3 linked regions of the Notamacropus eugenii genome follow. Each later gene encodes a partner of the first gene's protein in a complex. Links are inferred from orthologs where the notes say so. Each region holds a gene or a part of one and is shown on either strand. Other genes may lie near its edges. The genes, in order: PPARG, NFKBIB and NRIP1.

The links.
Region 2: the proteins of PPARG (region 1) and NFKBIB are in contact, whole or in part, in a crystal structure (PDB 9CK0), measured with the Homo sapiens proteins. The link is inferred for Notamacropus eugenii from reciprocal best matches to the Homo sapiens genes PPARG and NFKBIB. Residues at the interface, in NP_056953.2 of Homo sapiens: Gln322, Thr325, Lys329, Phe334, Leu339, Gln342, Val343, Leu346, Lys347, Leu496, Glu499, Ile500; in NP_002494.2 of Homo sapiens: Asn286, Pro287, Ile288, Leu289, Ala290, Leu292, Leu293, Arg294, Ala295.
Region 3: the proteins of PPARG (region 1) and NRIP1 are in contact, whole or in part, in a crystal structure (PDB 9CWN), measured with the Homo sapiens proteins. The link is inferred for Notamacropus eugenii from reciprocal best matches to the Homo sapiens genes PPARG and NRIP1. Residues at the interface, in NP_056953.2 of Homo sapiens: Val321, Gln322, Thr325, Lys329, Phe334, Leu339, Gln342, Val343, Leu346, Lys347, Pro495, Leu496, Glu499, Ile500, Lys502; in NP_001426204.1 of Homo sapiens: Ser130, Thr131, Leu132, Leu133, Ala134, Leu136, Leu137, Ser139.

What each region holds. Positions count from the first base shown.
Region 1 is NC_092874.1:432,710,621-432,721,159, forward strand, and holds the start of PPARG (peroxisome proliferator-activated receptor gamma), read right to left. Parts: upstream 4,435-10,539; 5' UTR 4,291-4,434; intron 3,215-4,290; exon of another isoform or gene 3,094-3,214; intron 3,034-3,093; exon of another isoform or gene 2,923-3,033; intron 1-2,922. UniProt on the Homo sapiens protein: Nuclear receptor that binds peroxisome proliferators such as hypolipidemic drugs and fatty acids.
Region 2 is NC_092876.1:32,022,802-32,032,457, forward strand, and holds NFKBIB (NF-kappa-B inhibitor beta), read left to right. Parts: upstream 1-4,904; 5' UTR 4,905-5,042; coding exon 5,043-5,245; intron 5,246-5,645; coding exon 5,646-5,751; intron 5,752-5,867; coding exon 5,868-6,105; intron 6,106-6,542; coding exon 6,543-6,631; intron 6,632-7,063; coding exon 7,064-7,312; intron 7,313-7,497; coding exon 7,498-7,533; 3' UTR 7,534-7,650; downstream 7,651-9,656. Other genes in the region: SIRT2 (NAD-dependent protein deacetylase sirtuin-2), read right to left, coding at 1-44, 441-496, 1,175-1,234, 1,345-1,474, 1,969-2,037, 2,238-2,294, 2,538-2,644, 2,807-2,848 and 4 more; CCER2 (coiled-coil domain-containing glutamate-rich protein 2), read right to left, coding at 7,942-8,019, 8,452-8,924, 9,101-9,151, 9,237-9,324, 9,651-9,656. UniProt on the Homo sapiens protein: Inhibits NF-kappa-B by complexing with and trapping it in the cytoplasm.
Region 3 is NC_092876.1:410,457,883-410,468,383, reverse strand, and holds the start of NRIP1 (nuclear receptor-interacting protein 1), read left to right. Parts: upstream 1-5,827; 5' UTR 5,828-5,942; intron 5,943-10,501. UniProt on the Homo sapiens protein: Modulates transcriptional activation by steroid receptors such as NR3C1, NR3C2 and ESR1. Also modulates transcriptional repression by nuclear hormone receptors.

The sequences.
Region 1 (10,539 bases):
TCCATACCTGTTAACAAAAGTTCTATAATATACAGAAGATAGCCAGGGTCACCAAGATAGATGTTACTCACCATTGCTACTACTATTTTTTTGTAGTCAAAAAAGTTTGATTTCTATCTTAAAGGGTTTTTACAAGTAAACAAGGCCATTCCCGGTTCACTCATAAGATTTAAGTGGACCAATAAAGAGCAAGCTAAGATTTAAAAAAGGATTGTAATTAGACCAAATTTGTGCTTCAGTTAAGGTGTTTTCCACTATTACTTCATTAGTGTAACTGAATAGATTTTTAATAATGTCAAACTCATGTTAAAAATGTAACTTTTTTTTTTTGTTAGATATGAAAAAGGGCCTCATTTAGTAGTGGTTCAAATCAACTTTTCCTCTTGCCACTAATACTCACACATCTTATTTCCTGATGAGACCTAAGGATTCAGTCTATCCAATTTACTACATATAGATTGTTAACACAGCTCCCAAAAGGTCAAAGCCAGAACTGTACTTCCAAATTCAGGTGAACTATAATGAGGGAATCTTTCTTTCCTAGTCTCTAACTATATAAACACAGCTGAAGAAAATAATGGATGAAGAGATGGCTAAAAATACTTTAAGGATGCAGATTTCAAGAAAAGAATACAGGCCTCGATATGTAAAACACTTAAGAACATCATAACTTTTTGTTTCATAAAGATTTCTCTGTTACTAATGCAATGTATTGTTTATAGCCTAAATGTAACAGAATTATAATAATACATAATTATACAGAAGTACCTCTAATTCATCTCTAATTAATTAACAAATTGGCTGGCTGAGAAGAGAGTTTGCAAACAGACTTCTCAGGAGGACGAGGAACAAGGAATATGTTCACAATTCACACAGCTTATTGGCAAAGAGAGCCAGCATCATAATGTATTTCTGATTCATACCTCTAAATCAAACTCTTTTTTTCCTCCAGTATAAATTTAAAATGTCCTGAGGACTTTGAAAGTAACACTGTAATTCTTCTACAAGTAATTTATCACTCTTTTAAAATAAATAATACTGAAATATGTAAGGCAGCAGAGACCTAATTTCTGAAGAACAGGAAACTAGCTCTTTTCAAAGAAAATGCTACATTTATCATTTAAAACTGCAATTCCAAAAATTGTTTTCCAAGTAGCTAAGTTGTGAAGATCTATTAAAAGAGGTGACCCTGGTCCACGTTTTAGTTTTAATGAAGTTATGGATTGGTCCGGGGGTTTTTGGGCTTTTAAAGAATCCAAACCCACTCTCCCCATCCCAACATGGGCAGGCAGGAATCTGACTTAAGCAATTTTAGAGAAATGCTTTTTTTTTCCTTTTCTTAAAGGGGGTCATTTTGTCTCTGAAACTATAATTTCTACTTTGAGCAGCTTCCTGTTTTATTGATGCCAATGTTAGTTTCAATAATGCTGGTTTTACTGTGCTTGTGGTTAAAAACTAGAAAACAAAGGGCTGAAGAGGAATATTTGATAAAAATCTGGTATCAGAGCAACAGAAGTAGGGTTTTTCCTATATCATGTAGCAAAGAAAAGAAAAAGCCATGCTGGTCCCCAGCTGAGTCTTAAAATTTAATATACCCATCTAGTTTTAAAGGTATCGTCAGCATACTGAATATCATATGTCATATGATTTAAATAAAGGAGGAAGAAAATCATTTGTGTAAAGTATATGTTATGACAAAAGAAAAATGTGTAGTTCTATTTTTGCATTTTCCTTTTGACTGATATATTCTCGATTGAATTTAATAAACACTTATTAAGCACCTACTGTTGACTAAGCTCTGGGAAAAGAAAGATGGCAGGGTATGTTGCCCTCAAAGAGTTTATAATATAGTGAAAGAGGCTGGGCCACCATAAGATATACAAATAACCACGATTTAAGTGAGAAAATGAGTATAATTGCCACCACAGAATTCCTGACTCTCAGGTTGGATGGGACATCAGAGGCCATCTAACCCTACCTGTATCCCCTCTACAACAGGACAAGCATCCACCTTTGCCTGAAGACCTTTGGGGGAAGGGGACATAATCCATTCTACCCAAACTGTCAGGAACTTTTGTTCTTACATCAAATCTCAAACTCCAATTCTCCAAAAACTTTTCTTAATTACCCTTTCAGTTCCAATTCTATGATTTAGTAATTACAAATATTTAATTTCTCATGTAAAATTGTCCATGACTGCATAATACTTAAAGCTGAAGTTATTCACAAAAATGGAAAACTAAGACATTTTATTGTAACAATTAGAAAAATCCTGAAATTTGTCTATTACTATTTACTCGAAAATGTATAATCGATGTACAATCACAAAAAGGCTATCAGGGCTTATTTTTTGGGGGGGAGGCTTATGATGATCAATGATACCTGTCCATCATTTTATTACAGTATTTAATTTCCTAAGTAATTTCCCCCGAAATTTTTATGGAACATCCATGTCCAATTCCTAAAGAGAACAAGAAGGGGGAGTTAGCTCTACGTTACTACATAGCAATGATGAGTTTCCTATGCACAAGAGGAGGGTTACAGGGCACCTGAAGTCCACTGTGGTTAGGCACTTAGTTTGACAGGGTCCGTTTTATGAATAAGTAATTCATTGATCTCTCCATAGAGAGAAACTTTCTTTTCACAACTTGAAAAAAAATAAAACAAAAACCAAAACCACACCTTTGAAGTGAAAAGTAGCATGGCTGATAAAATGATACATTTTAATTAAAATATGTCCAAAGTCCATTTCCCCGTCCAAATATTTTCAACAGCTAATTCAAGCAAATTACCAGAAGAAATTACACCTATGCATTTTGGCCTTAAGCTCATTAGGCAAAGTTACTTTAAAAGCCCTTAATGCTTTTAGGTCAGAATGATAAATATTCCAAGTCCCCAATAGTATTACAGGTCAGTTATTACCAGAATATCACTACTGGCTTTCACTCGGACTTTATGGGCTAGTGGTCTCACAAGGATCCCTCCAGGGCTTCAGCCGGCTCCGCTGTCAGTCACCACTGCAAATGCCAAACGTTCCGCAAACTTTCTCACCAAAGCACTTCAAGAAAATGTCGCTGATGCGAGCTGACTCACCCAAGTTGTAGAAGTCAGCGGCGATGAAGGTGCCGACGGAGCCCTCCTACCCCTTCGGATCAAAGTGGAGCAGCTGCTCCTCCTCTTCACCTGACCCCATATAAAAGCCGTGGATCGGTGACTCCCAGTTTCCGGCGCTCTTTCCCTGGCCCCTCCCCAAAAGCCCAGGCACAAAGTACCACCTTTCTCTTCACCCTCACACCCTCCTTCCACCCCCAACCCCAAGGAACCTGTCATCTCTGTTTACCTGACCCACCTCGTTTCCCCCGCAAGAGTTCAGAGGAGCATAGCCTGCTGCTGTCCTGCGCCGTGCCCACATGGCATCGAGGGACTCAGCTTGGCAGCACGGGGCACACTGGGGAACTCCTAGTACCAGCGCGCTCATCCTGCTGCTCGGAAGCAGGCTGGCATCCCTGGGCCCCTCCTGCCCCGTGCATGCTCCCAGAACTTCGGGAGGGCTGGGGGCTGTCATCACCTGTTACTTCCCTGCACTACAACCCCAGGGCAGACCTGGCGGACAGAAGGACAGTCAGACAGAGAGACAGATGCTCTGTTCCCTTGCCTAGGTCGGCAAGGCCGGGGGGGAGCCACTTGCATGGCGTCCGCCCTTCACACAGGGCACACAGTCTCCCAGGAAACTTCCCTCCCTATTCTCGGGGGACAGTGACCCCCTTCCCAACCCTCCGTATTCCAGGGCACTCGGACTCAGCTCCCTCTGACCCCAGGTCGCTTAAGTTCTACGACTCCTTTCCGGGGCCACTTAGCCCTGGAGCCAAGCCTCGGTGCCCTCTCTCTTCCGTGACATAAGACCCCAGAGTCTCTTGTCCCGGGGCAGGGAACACGCACCCTGCGCGGCTTCCTTTCGGCTCAGAGCCCCCTCGGCCCGGGCCACAGGAGCTGCGAGTCTCCTTTAGTGACTCGGGCACACACAGACCCGCGTGCCCTTAAACTCGGGCCACTGGGCACGCCTGTGAATCTTTATCCCAAGACATCTAGGTCCGCGACCCTCGTAGTCCGGGACACGGCGGCCGAGGAGGGAGCCCTGATCCCGGGACACCCGGCGACACGAGTGCTCCCGGCTACGGGACCCCAGACGCGTGGGGGCTCTTGGCCCCAGGCACCCAGCCCCGGGCTGTTTTGGACAGCCCTCTCCCCGGTCCCCGCGGCCGCGGCCCAGCCCAGCGGGGGCGCTCTGACCTGCGGCCGGTGGCGTCCCTGGCTCCCGGTGTCCGCCCCAGCTGAGCCGAGCCAGACCGGGCAGCTCCGGTGACGGTGACGGCGGCTGCGGCTCCGGAGTGTCAGCGCGCTCTTCCTGCGCGATCGCCAAGTGCGGCCGGGGCCGGGGCCGGGGCGGGGGGCGGAGGCTGGGGGCAGGGTCCTGGACTGGGAGGGGGCAAGGAGAGAGGAGGAGGGGAGGAGGAGGAGGAGGAGGAGGAGGAGGTGGGAGGAGGAGGAGGAGGAGGGGGAGGAGGAGGAGGAGGAGGAGGAGGAGGAGGAGGAGGAGAGGAGGAGGAGGAGGAGGAGGAGGAGGAGGAGGAGGAGGAGGAGGAGGAGGAGGAGGAGGAGGAGGAGGAGGAGGAGGAGGAGGAGGAGGAGGAGGAGGAGGAAGGGGGCGGGAGCGGGGGCGGCGCGCAGGGACCTGCGCTCCCCGCGCGCTCGCTGCTGGCTGGCTGGCTCGCTGGCTCCAGGACGGAGCCGCTTCCGAACCAGCACCAGCCCGCGGCCGGCCCCCCGCAGCGCTCGGGTCGGCTCGGCCCTCCGAGCGGGGGACAGCGCTGCCTCCCCGGAGTGAGCCCACCCCGCCCGCTACGGGGAAGTAACTTTGGGGTCGGGATGGCAGAGGCGGGCAAGAACGCGGCTCTCCTCTGGAAGCCTGGAGGTCAGCCGGGACAGCCTGCGAGGGTCCGGAGAGTGGAGAGCAGAGCAGGGCGCAGTTGGAGAGCCGAGGCAGGGACTTGGCATCTGGAAGAGAAAAGCGGGGCCGAAGCACTTCGACCACTTAAGCCTTAAACTGAGTCATTTCTGTTATCCTGAGCGAGAATGGAAGCGCCTTGGGGACAGAGTTGGGCTGGAAGCAACCTGGGCACAGAGAGACCAGAAGCTGTTTGAGGGGGCACCTCGACGAGAGCTGTGGTGGCCAAACTTCTTGCTTCCAGCACTGTAATTTTCTTTGTATCGAGACCCTTGGAGGGGAAAGTTGGGAGACTTCCGAAAGCCCACGTGCAGTCATGCAAATGCAGAGGTTTGCTAGGGTTTGTTGCATACAATTTAAGGAAGTCTAGAGCTTGTGGATGCAATTGTAAATTCCAAAAGATTCCCAGCTCCCTGAGCTGAATTCCTTCAGGGCATACTATTTTGGAACTGCGGGACTGGCAGCAACTTGGCCACTTTGCCTCAACTTACTCAGCGCACGTTTAGATGGAAAGTTTCTTGAGGCCAGCAAAGCAGTCATAGGCCCGAAACTCCTAGGGGACAAACTTAAACCAGAGACCGACGTAGAATTCCACCGGCCCTTTCTCAAGGCCAGACAGAATGGAAACTGTTTGAGGACAGACTTAGCCCGGAAACTCCTCACTGAGGGATGGAAAGTGCCTCATGGAGGGCAACAGCCTTAGTCTGCAAAGATTTTCTAGGCCAGAAAGGGTTTTCCAGCATTTGCCCTAGAAAAAGCACCTGGAACGCTAGGGACTGGGTTGGAAGCCCAGCTAAGTCACTTGACCCTTGTAAGACCTTCGTGAGTCATTTCCCCTTATTCCCTCAGTTTCCCTCAGCATTACACTTTCCTAACTGTAAAGTGGGTTGGACTGGGCCTGGCCATCTCCAAGGTTTCTTTCCCTCTCTAAAGCCTTCCACAATGGATTTTGAAGGTGGGTTAGCCCGGTAGTGAAATAAAGGGGCAAGTGACTAGGCTTAGACAATCATTCTTTGAAGTAGGGAGGGCCCCAGCTCCACCTCTGAGACCCCAAACGACCCTCTTCTTCCTTTGCTGCAGTAATCCAATTCATTTACAGGTCATGGCATCACCTCCCTGATATGGGCCCAGAACAAAGGGCAGACAGCCCCAAATGCAACTTTTACTAGTCAAAAGATTATCTACTTTGTCACCGAGAGGGATGTATCAGTCTTCTAAGTCCTCTCTCCCATCCCATCCCACCCAATCCAAGCACTGCTAGTAAACATATATAGGAACAAAAGACAGAAAATGAGATCCATTAAGTGAGATGCTCACAACTTCCTAGCATCACAGTATTGTGGAAAGAGCTCTGCTCTGGAGACAAAGGTCCTAGATTCAAATTCTACCTCATGCTTGTTATGATCTTAACATACAGGTTAAGTCACTCAACATCCTGGAGCCTCAGTTTCCTCATCTGTAAAATGGGGGAGGGAGGCTTGGACTTGAGAGTTTCTGAGGTCCTTTCCAGTTCTAAATCAGTGATCCTTATTTCTCTCCATTCCTACTAAATATTGTTTCATATGAGCTGTAGATGATCTTCTATAAAAATATCCTCTCTATCACATATTCTGAAAGGCAGTATGGACAGATGAAAAGAACACCAGATTTGTAGTCAGAAATCCTGGGCTCAGTCCTGGTTCTGGCATGTATCAGACATATGACCCCTGGTGGTCTCCCCAGTATCAGTGTCACTTCATTGTCCTGGGGCCTCTCTCCACCTCCCTCAATTCCCCATCTCCCCACCAACTGGAAGTATATTTAAAGCTGCTGAGACCAAGCAAAGTTTGTGGTACTCATCTCAAACATGGAATCTTCTAGTTTATGACCCTGTAGGAACAATTTTTTCCCCTTCATTTCAAAAAGCATATTCCAAGTATATGAAGAATAACCAGTTCTCCAGTTCTACCACAAGGGACCTAACTGAAAAGCCTTCTGATGACCAAAAGGTATAAAACTTCTTTTCATCAATGCTAATGAAGAACACACCTTGCTGCTAACCAGGAGTGTACCTTATTTCAGTTTTTTGGGCAATCTTTTTTTTCTCCTGAATCAAAATCTCAAATGAGAAAATTGATATTAGTGATCCAACCCCAAATGAACCAAGTTCTAATTACAGAATGCTCATAACTAAAGTCACTCAGGAGTGTAAAGTAGACTCAACATTTTCCCCGCTCAAAAATATTCTTCTAGTATGTGTGGGCTACTTACTGCCTTCCTCTTACAACAATGAAGCAGAATGGTATCAGTTCATTGGATCATGGATTGAGAGCTAGAAGGGACCCTAGAAGTCGTCTAGTCTAATGGCTTCATTTTATACATATACATGTTGAAGTCCAGTTAAGTGACTAGCTCAAGGTTACCCAAACAGTGAGTGGCAGAGTCAGGATTCCAGCTCTGGTCCTGATTACTTGAGATGAGCTGTTGGGTTTTATGGTTGTTTGCTTTCCCCCATCTTCTAAACTCCTCCTCTCCTGTCTGCCTCCCTCTCGCCTTCCTTCTTCTCTTCAGAGGAAGGTAAATTTGGATGGTCAAAAGGTGTCCAGTTGTCTTGGGTTTTACTGGCTTCTTTCCTGTCTGTCCTGTCCTCTCCTAAAACCTTAAACCTACTGCACTCTGAAACTGGGACTCCAATGGACCCCTGCCTAAGGTCTCCTCTGGATCCTCCTAGCTTTAGATTATCAATAGTAACTGTTGCTGTTTCCCACCCAGCCTGAAGTCTTTCTTTTTCTTTATCTGATTAAAGGGGCCATGCCCTGGCTATTTCTTAAACAGGCCTATTCAATGAATGGGTGTTGCCTCACCCTAGGTGAGTACCTGCAAAGACCTTGACCTAAAGGGCCCAAGGTCTCCCAGTGCACCCTGGGTCATCTCCAATCATCCTAAGGAATATCAGATCACTGGATTCGGATGGCCCTGGAGGAGAAGTGAGGCTGGTGACCTTGCACAGCCCTCCCTCACTCAAGCCAAAGTCAAGCGCAAGTCATGTCATCATTTCTCTGATGGCATGGTCTTCTTCGGCAGTGAAGGATGAACACAATGCCATGTGACTAATGGACTAACACCTCCTTCTCCACACTGCTATTCCCACTGGTTCTTTGAGTTGGATACAAGATGTCCCAATAGTATTGGACTAAGCCTAAACAACACTAAGACTTTTGGAGCATCTTGTATTTTAGGCTGTAGTTCTTTTGAATCCAAATCAAAAACAAACACACACATTTCAAATAAACATATGCAGTTCAAATATGTGTGTGTGTGTGTGTGTGTGTGTGTGTGTGACACACGTTCATAGACATAATGACTTGTCTGGAGTCATATAGCTAGTAAGATTTAAACTCAGGAAGATGAGTCTTCCTGTTTGCAAGGCCAGTGCTCTATCCACTGTGCCATCTAGATGCATATGGATGTATGTCTATATGTGTGCATATATACATACCTATAGACAGAGTTCATATATATGTATATATATATATATATACATATATATACACATAATTCATATATATGCTTTCCTTCTCACTAAGGAAATTTCTTCCCTTCTGTTTATAATTGTGCAATAAAAATACGTGCCACATGGGGAGGAAATGGAGGTCTAGTAATGTGGATTGACCGTAATTGAATTGATTTCCATAGTATTCTGAACATACTCAAATTGGCTCCCCTGGGAAAAGACTCCAGACATTTTAATATACCAATGATTTTTTAAAAAATGCTGTGTTTAAAAAAATTCAGTAGAATCTTTCTTCAAATAAGGTGACTCAGTTCAGGGTCCAAAAAAAGAGTACATTAACCATTTAACACTTATCCTAGTATTTTGTTACTTTGCTCTAGAAGGATAAAGAAAATGAATGTTCTAATCAGTCTTCTCACTTATGGTAACTATAGATTCCTGTACAGATGTGCTTAATCTTTCTCTTTCTCTTTGTATTTTTATAGTTTTATGGATTCAGTTTTCTTGTACACTCCATTCATTTCCCCATATTCTCAACCCCCACTCTCATGCCCATTTGAATCTTCTTTTATAACAAGGAAAGATGCTTGAGGGAAAGCAACCAATACATATAGTGACTATACCTGTCAGCTCATGAAACTTTCTATACCTGTTGCCTCTTACCTCTCTACTGCAATTGGTAATTTTGGTAATTTTAGTAATCACATTTTGATAATTCTCATAATATTTCAAGCTTTTTCATTATTATTATTATGTCTGGCAGGGTGATCTGTGAGCAGTGATCTTTTATGTTACTATTAAAATTGTTTTGGGGTGCCACAAACCAGGCCCACATAAGACAATGAACTCGACTGATACATGTTTGTGTGTTCTGACTGCTCAGTTAACTGGTCTTCTCTTGCCTCTCTCCCTCTCCTCAGACTTCCCTATTCCCTGAGACACAACAGTATTGAAATTAGGCCAATTATCCTTAGAATGGCCTTTAAGGGTTCAGGTGAAAGGAAGCCTCAATAGATAGGGCAAACTTCATTGTTTTCTTATTTTAAGAAATTACCATAGCCTCCCCAACCTTCAGCAACCACCACCTTGATCAGTCCCATTAACATTGAATGAAGATCCTATACCACAAAAGGATTATGACTTTGATGACAGCTCAGGTGGTTAGAATTTTTTTTAACAATAAAAAATTTTAAAAGTAAGATATGTATATACATATATATATATTTAGACATAATACTATTCCACAATTAATAGACTATAGTATAAACACAACTTTTACATGCACTAGGAAACCAAAATATGTGACTTATTTTATTGTTTTATTAAAGCAGTTTAGAATCAAACTGTCTCCAAAGTATGCCTATATTAAAAATGATGACACTTAATTGCTCACTCATTCATGAACTTCCCTCAGATGTGAGGCCTTCTTACCCTGGTACAATTTACTATTCCAGTGGCCTGCTTGCTCTGGTAAACCCTTCTATAAGGCCTGCTATCCTTTTGCCATTGGTCAGTTCCTCTTGGAGCCTCTGTTTTGTGGAGAGGCCTGTCTTCCAAGCCATGCCCCTACAGTGGTGTTTTTCAATTGCTTCCTTCCTCCCTTCCTTCCTTCCTTCCTTCCTTCTTGTTTGTCAGGTCCTTTTACCTGTTTCTCTCTACAATACCCACAGCCAGGGCTGACTCACTTCTCTTTGAGTCACCCTCAGAAGTCACCCTCCTTAAAGCTATCTTCTATCTAGGAACTCTGGATTGGTAGGGAATATCTAACTTTTACATAGGCTAACACTTGGAATTTCAATAGTTTTGTTCATACCTCTGCTAAAAGGGTGACAAACCATAAATTCTTCTTTGTATATCATTTAATATCATCACACCTTGAAGTCTCTGTTACCTGTCCTTTATCAACTGTGATTTTATCAACTGGGCTGGGGGCAGAAGGAAGGAAATCAGTTGATCACAAATGTCTTCCACTACACTCCACATTTCCTTGCTGTTTTGGAAGTAATCTATAAATTGACATAAAGGGTAAAATGATATAATT
Region 2 (9,656 bases), on another chromosome or scaffold:
AGGGAGGTGCCCATGATGATAAGCAGATCCACCTTCTGGAAATCCTGGAGGACACAGGAGGGACAAGCCATTTCCCCTGCCCCTGCACCCCCTCACCCAGAGCTCAGTCTGGAAGACCCCGGGAAGATCTGGGCCAGAACACCACGTCCTCTGCTCTTGCTTCGGACTGGCTTTCAAGGCTTCTCGGCCGGCCCTTCCTCTGCCTCCTCCAGCCCTTTTCCTCCCAGCACCCTGGGTCCCAGTCCCTATCACTCTGGCCCTGAGGGACCTTCCAAGAACCACCACCAGGGGGAGCCCTACACTCAACTCTGGGAAACCAAATTAGGAGTCAGCCCTCTGACATCTAAGGGAAGTGAACGAAATTCTTTGTTCGGGAAGTGGGCTCCGGGAGCTCTAGGTCCTGGGTAGATGTCAGGGAGCAGAGCAGATGGATCACCTACCGATTGCATGCAGGAGAAGAAGCGCGCTGGGAGGGTCTCGCCAAAGAAGACAATGTCTGGGGAGAGAGAGAGACGAAGGAGAGACAGATGGAGGAGAGACAGATGGAGGAGAGACAGATGGAGGAGAGACAGACGGAGGAGAGACAGACGGAGGAGAGAGAGAGATGGAGGAGAGACCGAGAGACAGAAACGGAGGAGAGACAGACAGAGGAGAGACAGACGGAGGAGAGACAGAGATGGAGAGACAGAGACAGAGGAGAGACAGATGGAGGAGAGACAGAGATGGAGAGACAGAGACAGAGGAGAGACAGATGGAGGAGAGACAGACAGAGGAGAGACAGATGGAAGAGAGAGAGATGGAGGAGAGACAGAGACAGAGAGAGACAGATGGAGGAGAGACAGACAGAGGAGAGAGAGATGGAGGACAGACAGATGGAGGAGAGACAGAGATGGAAAGACAGAGACAGAAGGACAAGGAGAGGAAGATGGGAGAGAGGGGAGGTACAGACAGAGAGACAAAGACAGAAAGAGAAAGAACCTAAGATTAGGGAGACAGGGGAGGGGGTTGGTCCCCAGGTGCCAGAAGGAGAGCAAGGGGATGACAGCCAGGGGCTCCTGAGCCCTGACCAGTCAAGAGCTCTCGAACTTGATCTAGGGAGGGAAGGGATATTTTTGCTGTTTCCCGTGACTGTTGACCTCCTTCAAGGCCCCCTCTTCCCTTTCCCATGGTTCACCTGGTTTCACGAGACTCTGGCATTTGTCACACTTGGGGGTCACCTCTGAGAAGATCTTATCTGGGGGAGAAAACATGAGGTAAGGAATGATGGGATTGGAGGCCAGGGGAGGAGAGTAGCATTCCCTTCCTCAGGGCCCCTCCCCCTGCCCTCAGGGACCCAAGCCTCACCTTTCATCCAGCCCAGGTCATACTCTTTGTGGCAGTGGGAGCTGATACAGTGAGAGGTATAGAATGTTCCATGGGCTTCAACCAGGTCCTCTGGTTCCAGCCCAGCCACCCGCTCCAGTGTGTCGATGTTCTGGGGGAGAGGGAAGAGGAAGCAGTCAGTTAGAGCGTCTCCTCCTTATCCCCCTACTAGACTTGAAACTCCCTGAGGGGAGGGGCTCTGAAATTGGAACTGTGCATTTGCCCAGGTGTGTAACCCAGCTTTCCGCCACAGCGTCTGAAAATTATTTATTGAAATTAAACTAAATCGAAAGTTCACATCAGAATGGATGGAAAGAAAATCTGACTAGGGTAAGAAAGAATTGGCTAGTCATCAATTTAACGTTCGAACACAGAGATATCATAGAACATGTTTGTTCTTTCCAAAAATAAAACTCAAAAGTATTTATAAAGGACAAATGAAGTCAAATGATGCACTGTGGTTATTTTGGGGAAGAATTATATTTTTGGTGCCACTGCCCATCTGGGGGGCTGCCCACTGGGTCTGGCAAGGCAGACTTGCCTCTGTAGGACACAGCCTGTAGAGTGTGGGCATTTCATCCTCCCCCCTTCCCTGGCTGCCCTCACCTGGGTATAGCAGCGAAGCAGTAGGCCCTTCTCCTTGAGCAGGCGCATGAAGTAATGACACACGGTGGGCTACAGAGGGGTGGAGGGGAGTGAGGGCCAAGGGGTACACACACATTGTCTTTGATGTGGTTAGACAACTGGGACTTTCCCAGTTTCTTCTCCCACCCATTGTGGGGAGCAGCCCACCCCCCCCAAGCCCAGATGGGGAAGCCCTGACTCTGTCCCCCAATTGTGTACCTTTCCTTTCCTTTTCCTCTGATTAAGCTCACCTTAAATTGCCCTGGGTACAGCTCCCGGGCCAGAGCAAAGAAGGGCTCAGGGTGTTTCTGGGGAAAACAGACAAAGACAGATGAAGATACGTGAACCCTTCACTCCTTACAATCCCCTACCCAGGATCAGCAGCCCAGATTTGGGGGGCCCACTAGTGATATTTGATAAGATGAAGGATTTAGCTGCAGGATCTGCCCTGCTAGTGTTTGAAAGCATGAAGGCTCAGGAAAGGGAAGGGTTCTCCCTCCAAGGAGTCTGTGAAAACTTGAAAAGTGGGGTGTTCTTAATGACAGTTTTACCTTAAAGTAGCTGATCTCAAAGATGGCTTCAGGGTAGGGAAGGTTGTACTTCTCCAAGTTGGCATAGAGGCCGGTGGACGGGGAGCGGAAGTCAGGGATGCCAGCAGCTGGGGACAAGGGTAATAGAAGAGGCATCCCTGGGGGAGGCCACCTCACTGGTGAGAGGGGCCTTATCCCAACCCCTAGGTTAGCTCCTTTGGGGATCTGGCCCCCCTTCTCCATTCTGGGGGGAGTTTGGAACCTGAGGGCACAGGGAAGCAGCTACTTACATGTAGAGATCCCTGCCCCTACCATGCAGATGATATTCTGACCTGGAAGAGAAAAAAGGTGAGGGGAGAGACCTCAAGACCAGAGCAGTTTGGGGTTGTTTCTCTAGTCTCATTCCCTGGAAGGACAACTTCCCTACCCGGACTGCTTTGGCCCTGTGGAATCCTAAGGTGAGTCCCACCCTTTAGTCCTGAGTTCTCACCTGGTCTGGATGTGTCTCACTGGGTTTCCTGAGGAATGGGTAAGGGGAGGGAGAGAAGTGGTCCCAACCCGGGACATGGGAGCTGAGGTTGGGTGGATGGGGTAAGGCACATCCTGTAGACAACCTGAGCTAAGAAAAGGAGATGGGGAGAAGCAAGAACTCACATTGGTCACTCTGGATGAACTTGGTCACCCCTTCCAAGGAAAGTTCATCCAACAACTTTTCTCGCTTCCCGCTGCCCAGGCCCAGGGTTCGGGAGAAGAGATTCCGTAAAAAGTCCACTGTGGGGCAGACCAGAGGATGATGTTATGCAGGAAGAGGGCAGGCACTGGTCCCAACTAGGCTTCAGCCAGTCTTGTCCCCCCCCCCAGTTCACCACCCAGGACAACTTACTCTCTGTCTCTCCAGATGCAGCTCCACTCTCAGTTTCTGAATCTGAGTCCTGGGAGAAAACGGCCAGAGAGGGAGGAGGGTCAAGGGGGGCTCCAGAGGGTTGGCGCTTGGGGAGGACGATCACGGGAGGAGGGTTGGGAAAGGGGAGTCAGTGGAAAGAGGGTCAGAGGGAAGGTGGGTCATTAGAAAGGAGAGCCAGAGAGGGAAGCGGAGGGGCACAGTTTGGGGAAAGGAGGTCAAAGGAGGGAAGGGTAGGTGGGGAAGGAGGGGGTTAGGGTCCTCGGAATGGGGGATGGGCGGGCGGATCTGCTGTTTCAGGGCTGGGGGCGGGGTGAATAAGCCCTGTGGATCTGGGACACGGGGCGACCCACTCCCTGGGGGAAAGCCGGGGAGAGCCATGAGTGATGGGAGCAGGCGGGGGAGGCGCGGATCCTCTCACGGGCCAATCATAGACGTCCTCTCCCTCCCCTAGCGGCCAATCACAGACCTCGTCCCCTCCCCGGCCAGCCAATCACGAACGTCCAAGGGCGCCCCCTCTCACCTGAGCATCCTGCACCTTCCCTGCCTCGTCCTGAGGGGGACCGGGGGCTAGGGAAGGGGGGTAGGGAGACAGGGTTACATTGGAGGGGGGGTGGGAGGCCGTTAGCGTGGGGGCGGCGGCGGGAGCGAGAAGCGGGGAGGGGGACCCCAACTGGCCACGGGCAGGGGTGCAGAGGGGCCCTTAGCAACCAGGTACCAGGCTTCCCAGAGGTCACGGTCCTTGGTAACCAGATCCACTCCACCACATACCCCGCAGCAGCCGCGGCACCTGTTTCCTTCCACCCTAAAACGAGGCCCTTAGGTACTGGACACCCCAGGAATTAGGACCCCCCATCTTGGCTCCCAACCAGCCTTAGCCGGCGCTGCGGAGACTGGGGCCCCCAGGGCCCAACCCATTCTCCTCCCCGCAACCCTAGATCGGGGCCCCACGCGGTGGTTTCCGGGTGGCGAGTCCCCATAGCCGTTCGCCCAGAGGGCCTGGTCCTAGGCCCGGCCCAAGAGCCCACCCGTGCCCCGACTCACGGTCCGCCTCGGCCATGGGCCCGGCCCCGGGGATGGGTTCAGCAGCGTGGGGGGCGGGCAGGGGCCCTCGGGGCTGTCACCGACTGCTCCGTCCCGTGACGGCGCAGGACACGGGCGGGGGCGGGGGCAGGCAGGGCGGGCTATGGACTACAATTCCCAGAAGAGCATGTGGCCATCGCGGGAATCCCACAATGCCCCGCGCCGTCTTTCCGCCGTGTTGAAGGCCGGCGTGACCCACCGCTCACAGAGAAACCACGATTCCCAGTGTGCCTGGCGCCGGAAGCCGTCCGGGTAAAGCGGGACTGAGGGCGGATACACGAGCCGAGCCGACCAAATGCGTCTATTGCCTCTATTGGACAACTTGGTGCGAGGGGCGGAGCCCTGCCGGAAAGGTTGCGCGATCTTATTGGCAGTCATCTCTAAAAAGGGCGGTGCGACCCTCCCTGATTGGTCGAAGCGCTGAGCGAGTTGGGGAGCAGGGGGAATTCCCCGGGTCCGCGGAATCCCCGGGCCGGCGGCTGTGGCGACCAAGACTCTGGATGGACCGGGGGGGCCCGGGACGGGAGGGCTCTGCGTAGGCCATGGCGGCCCCGGCGGGGCCCGTGAAGTCCGGGGACAGCGGGCTCGCGGAGGAGTGGTGCGACAGCGGGCTCGGGTCTCTAGGGCCCGATGGGCTCGGGCCCCCGGCGGACGGGCCGCGGGACAGGACGGAGGAGGACGAGGACGAAGAGCCAGCTAGCTGGGCGCCCGAGGTGTTCGGCTACGTGACGGACGACGGGGACACGTAAGGGGCCGGCCCGCTGCCCCTGCCCCTGCCCCCAAGGCTCTCCCCTTCCCAGGGTCGTGGAAAGGTGGAGGGGGGATCCCCGCCCCTTACCGGAGGGGAAACCGAGGGAGGGAGGGGAGGTGTGAAGGCAGGGCTAGGAGGCCCCGGGGGTCCTCAGGCCATCACCTGGGACAGGGGACGTTGAGTTATGGCTTGGATTAGTTTTCCTGCTCCTACATTCTGTCCCTCTCCAAACCTCCTGGCCTCTGACCCCTGACCCCGCCTGACCCCCTTCTTTTCCCTTTGAACGGTGACTCTTTTAGGGAGCTTAATTTCCTTCTCCCCTGCTGCCCCGCAACGGGGCCTCGAAGGTGGCCCGACCCCCACCTCCCTGACCCTCTGTGTCCCCCCTGCCCAGGGCCTTGCACTTGGCAGTGATTCACCAGCACGAAGCCTTCCTGGACTTCCTGCTTCACTTCACGGCAGGTACTGAATACCTGGATCTCCAGAATGACCTGGGCCAGGTGAGGTCCTTCCCCTACCTGTGGATGGGGCCGGCAGGGCCAGGAAGAGGCCCTCCCAACCCCCCACCCCCAGGACTGACTGGCTTCTGCTTGCACTTGTGTTCCTCTGTCCACAGACGGCTCTGCACATAGCGGCCATTCTGGGGGAGGCAGCCCTCACTCAGAAGCTGCGGGCCGCAGGGGCCGGGCTCTGTGTGGCAGAGCGAGGTGGGCACACGCCCCTGCACCTGGCCTGCAGGGCTGGGGCTCATGCCTGTGCCCGGGCCCTTTTGGGGCCCCTTGAGGGCCAGACAGCCCAGGAGGAGGAGGAGGAGCAGGAGAGACGGGAGCAGCTGGAGTGCACCAACTACCAGGGTATGGCCCAGCCAATGCTTCTCCCCACTGTCATGGACGCAGCCTGATTCCTGGGGGCTGGAAGCATCTCCCAACAAGGGGGATGCAAACAGTAGCCATGGCTACGTGGACATAGGAGTGACTCTGCCTCTGGCACTGTGCCAAGGGCTTTCCCAGCATTATCTGATTTGATCTTCCCAACAACCCAGTGGAGTAGGTGTCATCACTTTCCCCTGCTTTCCCCGTTTTACAGATGAGACAAATGAGTTCAGGAACTAGCCCAGGGACAGTCCACACAGGCAAGTGAGTGTCTGAGGCTGGATTTGAACTTAGGGCCAGATCCCCACTAAATGCATATTCTCCCATTTCCTTTGAGTATGCTCATTTGCCTTAAATGCTTTCTAAATGTATTCCCTAAAGGCCTTCTAAATCTTTGTTTCTCTAAAATAACTCCACAGGCCACACTCCGCTCCATGTGGCTGTGATCCACAGGGACACAGAGATGGTTCAGCTGCTCCGGGAAGCAGGGGCAGATCTCAACAAACCAGTAAGGATACAGAACCCTGTCTGCCCTCAACTCCCAGGCCCTCCTCCCTTTTCCCATGCTGCTGTTCCCCTCCTTCCATGTATCTGTTCTGTGAGATTCTTTTCCGCACCCCCAGCTCCTTTCTCTAGATTGGGGGAGTCTAAATGAGGGAGATTACTGCTTTCCTCTGAGAGGGAGCTATAAAACAGACATCGACCCACAGTGGGCAGAGGGGCTTCTTTGAGACAAGCGGGGTCCCCTTCAGATCATACATGGTCTGAAAAACAAGGTGAGTTAGGCATGAAGATACCAGGTCCTTCAAATGGGGGACAGGCCTAACCTCTAGGAAGAGACTGTTGTCAGCAGTAGTGACTAGGGATAGATGAGGGGGTGGGGGCTGGGGCTCCAGAAAGGGGGGACATGTCCTTTACATGCACTCTCTTTCCCAATCAGGAGCCCACGTGTGGGCGGAGTCCCCTCCACCTGGCTGTGGAGGCAGAGGCAGCTGAGGTCCTGGAGCTACTCTTGGATGGCGGCGCAGACCCCAAGGCCCAAATGTATGGAGGCCGTACCCCGCTGGGTAGTGCCACGCTGAGGTCAGACCCCCTCCTCGCCCGTCTCCTGCGTGCTCATGGAGCCCCGGAACCTGAGTCTGAGGAAGAGGAAGACTCCAGCCCGAGAGGCAGCGATACTGATGAAGGTGTAAGTGACCTGGGGGAGTTCAGCCAGTGAGAAACTTGGATGAATGGGATGGAAGAAGAGAGAGCACTGGGGAAGGGTGGTCTGGTAACTGATCGTTCCAGAAGGGGAGGGTTGATGGGAGATGGGGAACTTGGGGGGAGGCCCAGGATGAAGGAGAATCAATTCCTGACTCCACTATCCTCTAGGATGAGTATGATGACATCGTGGTCCACGGAAGCTGAAGTGGAAACTGAGGCACACCTTCCTCACCTGCTGGCTATCTCTAGCCAATTTCTTTGCTTTTTTTTTTTTTTTTTTGTAGAAAAGCTTTAATTTCAATAAAACTCTCATTCCCCTGGCTGGAGTGTCCAGGGATCTGTTGGGGCCAGAGCATCTGAATTCAGAAACAGACCAATGGGAGGAAAGGCATGCTTTTATCTGTGCTTTATTTACGTTGGGGGAGAGGGGAGCAGGTGGGGCAGAAATCTCTGACCCCCCCCCCAGTCTGTTTTCTTGGTGACCCTCTCTTGCTCCCTCCCCCCACCACCTGGAGAGGGGCTGATCAAGAAGGGCAGGAACCAGTCCGTAGCCCAGTTTTCTGAGATGAGCGAGGGTGGGTGGGGCAGGTGCCTGGCATTCACATTTGCTTCTCAGCCCCTCCTGCCCAGTGCCTCGGCTGCCTTCTTCAGCTCCTCCCCCATCTGCTCCAGGCGAGCCAGTTCATGTTCCTGGGGGGGGGGGGGCGGGGAGAGGGATGTCACTTAGTGCTCTAAGGAGACCCTTCTTCATCACCCCATGCCTCTTCTGGCCTCCAGAGGCCAGGATTTCATCCATGTAGGCCATTCCCAGATTAAGGAAGTTTCTCTGCCCATGCAGGCAGGCCCCTCTGGGTCCTCCCTCTGCTACTCATACTGACTAGAGCCTATAGATCTGTGTGCACGTTGTCTCCCCATTAGGCTATGAGCTCCTGGAGGGCAGGGCCTGTCTTTTCCCTCTCTTGTACCCCCAGCACACACCCCAGTGCTTGGCCCATAGTAGGCACTGCATGTTGCCTGAGGCAGGACTTGGACAGAGCCTTCCTGATCCCCTCTGCCCTCCATCCTCCATGTGCCACCTTGGCCACCCTTGTCCCCTGTGGACCAGCAGCCTTCCTGGCTCACCTTCTCTGCCTCCATCTCCTCCTCAGATTCCTGTTCAGAACGGGGCTGGTGGTGCTGGTATCTGTTGGCTGGACTAGCCCCCTGCCACACCCTCATCCCCTTCTCCTCCTCAAACTGGGCTGTCTCCTCCTCACTGGCAGCCTCTGCCACACGTTTCTCCACACCCTGGCCCCAAGCCTCCTCTGCCTCCTCATCTTCCTCAGAGCCCTGGGACCCCTCTGGTCTCCTCAACCTCCTCCTCCTCTTGTCATCCTCTTGAACTCTGGTCTGACCCCTCACCTCCTGTTCCTTAACTTCTGACTTTTCCTTGGCCTTCACTTCCTCCTCCTCCTCCTCCCTCACCTCCTGGCCCAACCTCTTCTCCCCCTCAACCTCCCCTGGGCCCCTCTTTTTCTTCCTGAAATCCTCTTCCTCCACCTCCTGTTCCTCTCTCTCTGCCTCGCTCTCAGGACCCAGATGGTGCTTGGAGATCTCTGAATGAGAAAGTCAACAGAAGAGGATCAGGCACCGCAGCCATTCTTTCCCATCCTCCCTTCATTCCCTCCTGGGTCACCCAAGGGGACCCTTAACCAAGGGCAGAGCTGGTATCTGGCTTCCCCCACCCTCAGGGAATGAAGCCATGCCCAGGAGCCAGGTGTCCTGCCCATACCTTGATGCCTGAGCGCCTCTAGGGTCTGGAGCAGCGATGTGAGCTGTTCATCTAGGGGCAGGAAGGGTGGTGTTAGTGGGGTGAGGAACAGGAACCAAGGGGGCTCAGGAGGGTGACTGGGTGCCCATCTTCCTACCTTCTTGGAAGAGCTGTGTGCAAGGACCCTCCCAAGGGCCCTCCTGGCTTAGCTTGTCTTTGAGAGCCTCTTCAAGGCATCGAGTGACCTAGTAGGGCCAATGAGGGAATCAGAGGATGAGAACTGGGGAAATGGCATTTAGGGAAAGGGGGAACAAGAAGTGCACAACAGCATGGAGGCCAGAGGAGACACCTGGGGCCTGGGAGATGCTTGTAGACAGATGAAGTGATCTGGGAACATAGGTTGAATTTGGGATAGAAGGAGTCACAAGGGGACAGAGTCACTTGGAGAGAGATTTGGGAAATGGAATTTAAAGGTCAGGTGGGGGAGAGGGGATCAGAGGAAGGGTTGAGAAGATGGGATTTGAGACAAACAAATCAAGGGACAAGATTTTGGGGTCCTGACCCCTCTCACCTCCTG
Region 3 (10,501 bases), on another chromosome or scaffold:
AAAATAGGGCTCTTCTTCCAGGGTAGAGGGTGCACTGTCCAGAAGTAGTTGCTGCTTCTGCTGATTTCAGTGGCTTCAGAAGCCTGCTCCTGCTTTGCTTTGTGTTGGCACAGCCTATGCTGGGACTAGTCTTCACTCCAACCCAGGTGTTGGCAGACCTTTCCTGCCAGCCTAAGTTGTTGGGCTGGAAAATTATTTCATTCTGTGTTTTTTTGAGTGATGGTGCTACAGAATTTGTTTAGAGTCATTATTTAAATATATTTTTAGGAGTTTGGGGGAGAGCCCTGGTGAGTCCCTGCCTTTGCTCTGCCATCAGGGCTCTGCCTAAACTCTGTAGCTTTTGACACTATTGATCACTCTCTTCCTCTTGATAACTTTCTTCTCTTTGGTTTTTATAACTCTTAAATTTCTCTATCTTTGAACAGTCTTCCAGGTCATTTTTTTCTATCAGCTATCTTACTGATAATATTTTTTCAGTCTTTTGACTTTTATTTTCAGATTTCTTGCTGTCTCGTGGAATCATTGAGTTTCGTTTGGTCTATTCTAGTTTTCTGTTCTATTTGGGTAAGGTTTACTTCTTTCTGTTCTAAGCTAAGTTCTTTTTCTACCTGTAATTTTTTCTTCTAGACTTTTAATTTCATTTTTCATCTCTTGCTTTATTTCTCTATATTCATGTGGTGCTTGAGAAAATCCATTTTTTCTTTGATTCTCTTCTGGTTGTAGTTGATATAGCATTGCTTATTCCTTCTTTTTGTGCCATCTTTACATTTTCCAGAACTTTTTATACTGTGAATGGTTTTTCATTGATTTAATCATCTATTTTAGTATATAGGATATTTTGTATTGAATATACAATCTCTCCCTTAACCTGTTATTTGACTTGTATGTGAAATATTAGATTCATTATGAGATGACCTCCTAAGTGAAAGTTATAGGAGGATGGTAATATTGTTGCTTTGATAAATATAATTCTTTCTTCTTATTAAATGTACTCAGTTTTGTTTAAATACATTTATAGCTTAATTTCTTTGGAATTTAATTATGACTTAAATTTCTTAAATTCTAGGCAAGATGCTTTGTTGTATGTGTACTTTCAGAAATGTAAGACAGCAACCTCTAGTGACTTATTTAGCAACCTGCATCAAAAATGGATACTTGTAACTTTATGTTCTCTGGGAATAACATTTTTAAAGTTTTATTCCCCCCCCCCCATTATATGTAAAAACAATTTTATCACTTTAAAAAAAAGTTTTGAGTTCCAAATTCTATCCCTGCTTTCCTCCCTTCTCCCTCCCTGAGACACTACACAGTTTGATATAGTATCCAATCATGTAGCACATTTCCACATTAGTCACCTTGTGCAAGAAGACTCAAACCAAAGAAAGAAAGAAAAGAAAATGAAAAACACTATATTTCAGTTTGTATTCAGACAGCATCACTTCTTTTTCTGGAGTCAGCATTTTTCTTCATGAATCTAATGGGATTGTTTTAGATCATTGTGTTTCTGAGAAGAGCCAAGTCATTCACAGTTACTTTATCATATAATATTGCTTACTGTGTACAGTGGTCTCCTGGTTCTGCTCATTTCACTTTAAATCAGTTTATGTAAGTCTTTCTAGGTTTTTTGAGAATATCCTGTTTGTCATTTCTTATAGCACAATTGTATTTCATCACAATCATATACCACAACTTGTTTAGCTATTCCCCAGTTGATGAGTATCCCCTCAACTTCCACTTCTTTGCCACCACAGAGAGCTGTTATAAATATTTTGTATATATAGGTCCTTTTTTTAAAAATCTCTTTGGAATACAGACCTAGTAGTGGTATTGCTGAGTCAGAGGGTATACATGGTTTTATATGTACTTTGGGCCTATATTTTTTGGGAACCTATGTAGTAGTTCTCCAGAATGGTTCACAACTCCACCAATGGAGCATTAGTGTCTCAGTTTCCCACATCCCCTCCACCATTAGTCTTTTTCCTTTTCTGTCATTAGCCAGTCTGATAAATGTGAGGTTATATCTCAGAACTGTTTTAATTTGCATTTTCTTAGTAATAATTTAGAACATTTCTGATGTCTGTAGATGGCTTTGATTTCTGTCTAAAAACTGCCTGTTTATTCATTTATCAATTGAGAAGTGATTTGTATTCTTACAAATTTGACTCTGTTCACTATGTATTTGAAAAATGAGGCTTTTATTAGACCTATTTACTACAAAAATTTCCCCCAGTTTTCTCCTTTTTAATTTTGCTTGCATTTGTTTTGTTTGTGCAAAAACTTTCTAATTTTATATAATCAGAATGATCTCTTTTACACTTTGTAATGTTCTCAATAGCTTATTTGGCCCTAAATTTTTTCCTTACCCATATATCTCAGGTAAATTCTTCATGTTCTCCTAATTTGCTTATGGTATATTGCCCTTTATGTGTAAATGATGTACTCATTTTAATCTTATTTTGACATACAGTTTGTGATATATTGGTCTATATCTAGTTTCTGTTATACTGTTTTCCCAACAGTTTTTCTCACATCATAAGTTTTTGTTCCCAAAGCTTAGATCTTTGGGTTTATCAAATACTAGATTACTGTGGTCATTACTGTGGTCAGTCAGAATCAAATACTAGATAACTGGTCAGTACTACTGTGTAGTGTGCTCCTAATCTTTTCCACTGATCTTCCACTCTTTCTTAGCCAATACTAGATTGTTTTGATATTTACAACTTTATAATACAGTTTGAGATCTGGTGTGACTAGGACACTTTTCCTCACATTTGTTTTCATTAATTCCCTTGATGTCATTTACTTTTTTGTTCCAGATGTTATTTTTTTTCTAGCTCTATAAAAGTTTTATTTTTTTTGGTGGTTTGATTGGTATGCACTAAGTAGATTAATTTAGTTATATTACCTCAGCCTGCCCATGAGCAATTATTAGTTTTCTAGTTTTTTGGATCTGATTTTATTTGTGTGAAGAATATTTTGTAATTGTGTTCATATAATTCTTGGGTTTGTCTTGACAGTTAGACTCTCAAGTATTTTATATTGTCTTTAGTTATTTTTGAATGAAATTTCTCCATTTCTTCAGTTTAATACATATTTACATAGAAGAAAAAAGTTTGCACCGTCTCCGCCAAGAGATGAGTTGACATAAATTTTCCATTCTTCGTTAATTATGCAAGGGAAGCTAGGTGGTGCAGTGGATATAGCACTAGCCCTTGTCAGGAGAAAGAGGGTTCAAATTCTTCCTTAGACACTAGCTGTGTGACCTTGGTCAAGTCACTTGATTTTATTTGCCTTGCTTTCCTCATTTGTAAAATGAGTTGGAGAAGGAAATGGCAAACCACTTAATATCTTTGCTAAGAACATCGCAGATGGGGTCAAGAGGGAGGGATAGGATTGAACAACAACCACAATAGATCTGTTCAGCATTTCAAGTGCCTGTGTTTTGCATTGGTGCAATAGATTATTCATAGTAAACTTGTTCTAAGCAAATTACTTTGATTGTTATTTAGTTTTTATAACTGAATCAGAAACTTTTAGAAATGTATCCTGCACTCTGGATAACGATAATTTCTAGTATTAAAGGTATGTATCATCTTTATCTTTTACTTTTCTTTACTCCATGACTTTGAAGTCACTAATTTTGCTCTGGAAAAATTTCAATGTAATTTAATTAAAGTACTGTTTTTCTTCTAGCACAGTCAGGAAAGCGGTTTGTTAGAAAGATTTGTTATGCTGTTTGTGGAAAGTGAACATAAGGTTAAATTTACTGCCTAAAGTGATCTGGTAATACTTTTATGTAGCTGCTGAAGAAATGGAGAAATTTCATTCAAAAATAACTAAAGTGTGAGAATAAATAAGTCAAATTTTTTTTTTTAACGCAAGTTATTTATTTTAGTTTTGTTCATTGGAGAAATTTTCTCAGTTTATCCCGTAGCTAACACCATTGTTGTCAAACTTAAATAGAAACGGAACTTTACAGGCTTAGAAAACCATGAATGAACTTTATCTATGTTGTTTTATATTTTTATTTTGCAAAGTATTTCCTAATTATATTTTTTCTGGTACCTGCAGCACTTACTGACTTGGAGTTTGACCCCTCTGGCTAATAACCTTCTCGACCTACCCCTTCCCTACCCATTCTTCACACTCCCACCATTCACTTCCTAAATTTTATAAAGACTATTCTGGCTTTAATTATGACTTTAGTGACAGATGATATTCTTAGTTGCCAAGAGGGCAGTAAGGAGTTGCAGACTTGTTTCTGGCATGAGTTTTCCTGATGTTGAGCTATAATGCTAAGCCACTTGGCGCAGGACCTAGGAAAGAAGAAACCTGAATCCTCTCTCACCTGCTTAGTTGGGAGCTCTTCCCTCCTTCTGGAAGATTATCCTTCGTGAAAAATATTGGCATGGATAAGAGTTAATTCTTAGACACAATTTTCTATGTACGGAATTAAAATAAAAATTATTAAGCAGTACTATTATTTCCCCTTCTGTGGCAGTTTTATGTATTTGTCTTTAACTTAGGGTAGTGTTTCCATGGAGTTCTAAAACACTGCTTTAATTTTCTCAAGGAATTTCAGAGAGATTATATGCCACCTTACATGTTGGTTTTGAACAAGTTGGACACTGATAAAATGAAATGGGAATAAACAGTAGGAACTGAAGAGCTACCTACTATAGAACCATGGCAGGCCTAAGAGTTTAGATTACATATAGAATTAGTCCAAAATCATGGGGTATTCCTTCTTTGAAAGCTTTTTTTCCTAGATGTGTGGAAGGGGGTGGCCAGTGCTGCTAGATGTGCCTTATTACTCTAGTATTGGCCAAGTCTAGGTGGGGTAGCAACTGTGAAATGATGAGTGTATGTGATTGTATTTAAACCTTGTCTTTTTCTGAAGCTCCCAAGGTTAACTACTAGGGGCGAGGAGTATTTTGTGTGTGTTGGAGTGGAGAGGAGCGGATCGTAAATCCTTATGCATCTTTTTTATTGACATACTTTGGAGGGAAGAGGGAATTCTCTTATCAGAACATGCAGAAGTTTGTTTAGCTTTCTGTTATAAGGACTCTTCTCCTTTAAACAAAATAAAGACAGTAGTAAAATAAAATTGGAGTACAGAATAGAAACTGAAGAGCTACTCTTTGGGGATATCAGTTTGGGGATTTCATATTGTATAAGCTTATGGTCTTAAGTAGGGGGAAAAACAGGTTATAGAACACAAGGTGGAGAAAATGTATACAAAACAAGACAGCAAGAGTGTTCTATAATTAAGTTTATTATTAAGTCATTCTGATGATTTCCCTTTTACACTTAAAAAACCCTCACAATTTCCTGGCTGTTTCTTGCACAGATTTCTCCCTTTCTACAGAAAAGTATCAATTTTTGAAGAATGGATACTTGATTTAGAACATTTTATACTCATCTAAAACAACAGTTTCCATTGGGTATGGTCAAAAGTCATCATCTGGGAAAGACTAGACTAGCTATAAAAGTACTCCACTCCTTGAATGAAGTACTTTCTTTTTTCCCTCCTTATTTTGTAAGAGGTGGTCTAATCCCTTATAAGACTTCTATTGAAGTCACAGAATGGTGTCATGCAAAGGGTAAGACTACAGTGTAGACAGATGTGTTTGAATCCCTGTTCAGACAGATGATAGGTATACCTTTCAGATCTGTAAAACTGTAATAATGTGAAAAAGTGCCTTGCAAATTTTCAAGATCTATATAAATATCAGTTATTTTTCAGAATTATTAAATGCTTTAAAGGGTTCCTTTAAAGTAATGAGCATTGTAAAATAACTCCAGTCCTCCTTAAATTTTTTTTCAGGAACTATTGGAATTGGAAAGATTGACCCACAGATGTATTTACCTGTTGCCTGTAACTCTAATTGATACATGGTTTTCAGCATCCATTCTTTCAGATACTGGGAGAAAATCAAAAGGTATGGCATTTTATTTATATAGGTTATTAAGTCCTTAGTAGGAGAGTAATTACGTTACTGTATGACTTATTTGGCCATCAGCTTCTAGGTATTGTTAAATTTGCTATCTATCAGTAGAAAAAGAATGTTTATTATTTTATGTGATGAACACTGAAGTCTACTTTCTTTGATTTTATGTAAGTAAAAGGCATGTGGTAAGAAAAGCTGTTTCATTTTGAGTACGCAGAGTCTTGCCCATATTAGTGCTTAGGCTCATTAAAACTTTTTTTGTAGCATAAAAGCTTTTAGAAAGTTTCTTTCATTTATGGATAATAAAACATAAATATATTTTCAAGTAGATTTACAGTCTTTTCTCACTTGCCTAAGTATTGGTTTACCAAACTGTGCTTGTGAAACCTTTCATTTTAAATAGAATTTTGAGGGAACTCTTGCATTAAACAAGCTTACAAAGTGATTTTAAAAAATATTTACTAGCAATGACCCTAGAGAATATGAAGCTGTTTTTTTTTTTTAAGTTTTATCATTCCTTTGCCCTGAACACAAAAAGAAAAAGTTACTTAAGAGTGAAGTGTACTTAAATCACTTCCAAATCCACATTTTCTTTTGCTTTTTAATTTTTCTTGATAGCTTTTGTTTTTAAATGATCTTCATTTCTGAACATATTCCATGTTCCTCTCCTACCCAAAGACCATTCTTGGTAACAAAGAATAAAAAGAGTGGAGGTGGGGGAGTATTTTAATGAAACTAACCACCATCCAGAGCCTGACCTGTTTGATGTTACTCATCCTTCCAAGTGTCCCTCGTTTGCAAAGTAGGGAAACAGATGCATTTTTAAAATTTCTTTTTCATAGCTGAAGTTGGTTAATATAATTTAAAAGTATTTTGTTATTACAGGTATATTGTATTTTGTTTAACTTGCTCTGCTTACTTCATTCTGCAACAGCTCATATGAGACTTCTAATGCTTCTCTGAATTGTTCTTATGCATCATTTTATGGCATCTTAATATTTCATTAAATTCATGTGCCATAATTTGTTTAACCATTCTGCATCCTTTGATCTTTGTTTATAGTTTTTCCACTAACATAAAAAGTGCTGCTATGTAACACTGTAATGTATATGGGACATTTCTTTCTGTCTGTGACATCCTTGGGATGTATGCCTATCGGTAGGCTCTGTGGGTCAGAATGATGGACATTGTAGTCACTTTTTAAAGAGCGTAATGCCACATTACCTCACGTAGAATGGTTAACCTGTTAATATCTCCACCAACAATATATTTTAGCAAGTGTGTCTTCAAATTCATCTTTTCCTTTCAAACCTATGACTAGAAAAGATGGGCTCTCTGAGAATCATAATTGTTTTTCTCCCCAACAAGATTCTTTTTATTATTGTTATTATTTTATTGCAACTAGATTCTTGCATGGGACCAAAGGGAGATTGACAGCAAATTAAATGGTAGGTGAGATTATCAAAGAGAATGCCCTATCCAGTATCTTTATCAATTATTATTCTTGGATAATCAGTTATAAAATATTTTGTAAAGCAGTTGTGGAGACAATTCTGTTTCCTAGAAGGAAATAGGGAACAATTGAAGTTTATTTAGCAAGGGATCTTAGAGGCCATCTATCCAGCTTAAGCCTCTTATTTTATAGATGAGAAAACTGAGACCAGGTGAGGCTAAATGAATTGCCATACAGATAGTAAATGTCAGACTGGTTATGAATTACTGACTCTAAAGCCTTACTCTTTTTACTGTACCATGCTATGCTTTAGTTATAGCACTTTGGTTGCTAAGTCTAAAACAGATTAAAGAGGAGAGAGACTTTAGGCAGGGAGACCAATTAGAAGGCAAAAGTTCTGTAGGAAAGTGATGAAACTTTGAACTATGGGATGATCATGTAAGTAGAAAGGGATAGATAAGAGAGCACAGATTATGTAAGCATCAGCCTGCAGTGTAAGAGGCAGTCATTTTCTCAGACTGCTGGAGGGGGGCAACTTTAGGGACTAGAGAAGAGAACAGCGGTGTGAAACCCACTTTGTGGGGAATGTGAAATAACAGCCAACAGAATAATTAGAAGGAGAGTGAAAGGGCTGCCTAACTGAGCTTAGATAGCACACACTGGAGCAGACTTGCAGCAAAGTTTGGCATCTAGGAAATAGGAACAGAGGAGGCAAAATAGTAAGAGTTACCTAAAGTTGAGAGTTAGGACGGGACAGTAGGAGGTCAGAGGCATCAAGGTGAAGAAGAGGGCTTTATTAAAATAGCTGACCGTGTGGTCAAGACTGTGTAAGGAAGGAAACTAAAGCTAGAACCTGGCTGATAACACTGGAGAACTAGGAATATAAACACTGAAACTTGTGGTGATGGCATTAAACTGGTACAGGAGGGTAGGGGGTAAGGAAATAGGAATAAATAGGACAGGACAGTGGGCTTCACAGGGGAGTTTAGCCATCTTCTTTCTATGCTAACGCTTATCCTTCTCACATACCCCGAAACCTCTTGCTCTTGAAATAGCAATCAAATCAACAATACCATCCTTGTGACTTAGACCATAACACTTCTCCCTGGCTTCTGTCTTGTCAGACTTCTCAGAATGTGACTTCGTTATGGGCACGAGGCCCTTCGGCTTTTTGTATTTGTATCCCAAGTGCTTAGCATAGTTCCTAGTACATTATTAGTGCCCACTAAATGCTGTCTTGCTTATTCATTCATATTTTGCCTGGAGAAGGGAAGGATTTAGACTCTGTGATAGCTGTCTTCAAGTATTTGAGGAGCTTTTATGCCTGTGAGTGCTTACAATTATTCTGCATAACCCTAGGAGACAAAATCAGTAGTTGACAGAAGCCAATTTAGTTTCAGTGTAGGGAGACAGTTCCTAACAATTAAGAGTCCCTTGAAGTGAAATGCCTCAGAATATAGTACCCGTAACTTGAAGTCTTCAAACAGAAGCCAGAGATGAAATAGATAAAGTGAACCAATCTGGGAAATAGTGCCAGATTGGGAGCTTGAAGACAAGATCAGAGGGTGGAGCTCTGAGGCATCAGCAGTTGCATCCATTGTAGAAGTGGACGGTGGACACAAGGCAGATCTGAGGCTGGCTTGAACTCTCGTTAATCAATAAAAAATGGTACTTTCCATCTTATTTTAAAATAAAAATTTGTGTCAATTAAAAAGCTTTTATTTTCTTTCCACTCTTCATTAAAAAAGAAAAAGTAAAACCCTTATAAGAAATATACATAGTAAAATCAAAAGACATTCCCTTCTTGGCCTTGAAAAAATTTATATATCATTCTGTATGTTGAATCTGTCACCTCTCTGTCAGGAGGTGTGGGTAGCATTCTTCAGCATCCACAGTTTGTTTTTATAATGTTATAATTTGTTCTGCTGATTCTACTCACTTTGCATCATTTCATAGAACTCTTCAAAGTTTCTTTGAAACTATTCCTTTCATTATTTCTTCCATTACATTCATATATTGTGATTTGTTTAGCCATTCTTCAATTGATAGGCACCCCTCTTAATTTCTAGGACCTTGCCACTACCAAAAAAGAATGGCTGTAGATATTTTTGTACATATGCATCCTTTACCTGTTTCTTTGATCTCTTTGGGGTATAGGTGTAGTTATAGTACAAAGATTTTTGTAAATTTTTTGGCATAGTTAAAAATTTTTATCCAGAATGACTGGACTAATTCGCAGTACCAGCAGCACTGCATTAATGTGGCTGTTTTCCTCTAGCTCTTCTAATATTAGGGCTTGTTTTTTGTACTGGCTTCATCAATCTGAGGATGAGGAGTATGAGATGGGACTTTAGAGTAGCTTTAGCAGTCATTTGTCTAACATTGAACTTTTTTTTCCATGTTGTTGAGAGTTTGGACCATTTACCAATTGGAGAAATGGTATTATTCTTAAGAGTTTAAATCAGTTCATTATGTATCTTGGATATATATTAATAAATATACATGTATATATATAATTGATATTATTATCATTGCAAAGTTTTTTCCCCCATTTAACTATTTCCATTCTATTTTTAGTTGTATTGGCTTTGTATAAAAAAAATTAAATTTTATGTAATTAAAATTGTCCATTTTCTCTTTTGCGATCTTCTCTGTCCTCTTTTTGCTCATAAACTCTTCTCCCTATTCATACATCAGAATGATGTTTTTACTTTGCTCTTTATTTTATTTTATATCTGAGTCATGTATCCATTTGGAGCCTGTCTTATTATATGGTGTGAAATGTTGATCTAAACCTTATTTTTGTTAATTGCTTTCCACTTTTCTTAGCAGTTGTTTTTTCTTATTTTAAATAGGTCCTTATCACAGTAGTTGGGATCTTTGGGTTTATTGAACACAAGGCTGTTAAATTTGTTTGTTTACATGTTTTGTACCTGATCAAACCTGATAAACCTCTCTTTGACCTGTAAAAAATTATTTTGAGATCTGATACTGCTAGGCCCACTTCCTTCTTGCTTTAAAAAAATATCTATTGAGATTCTTGACCTTTTTGTTCCTTCAGATGAATTTCATTATTACATTTTTTCATTCTTTAAAG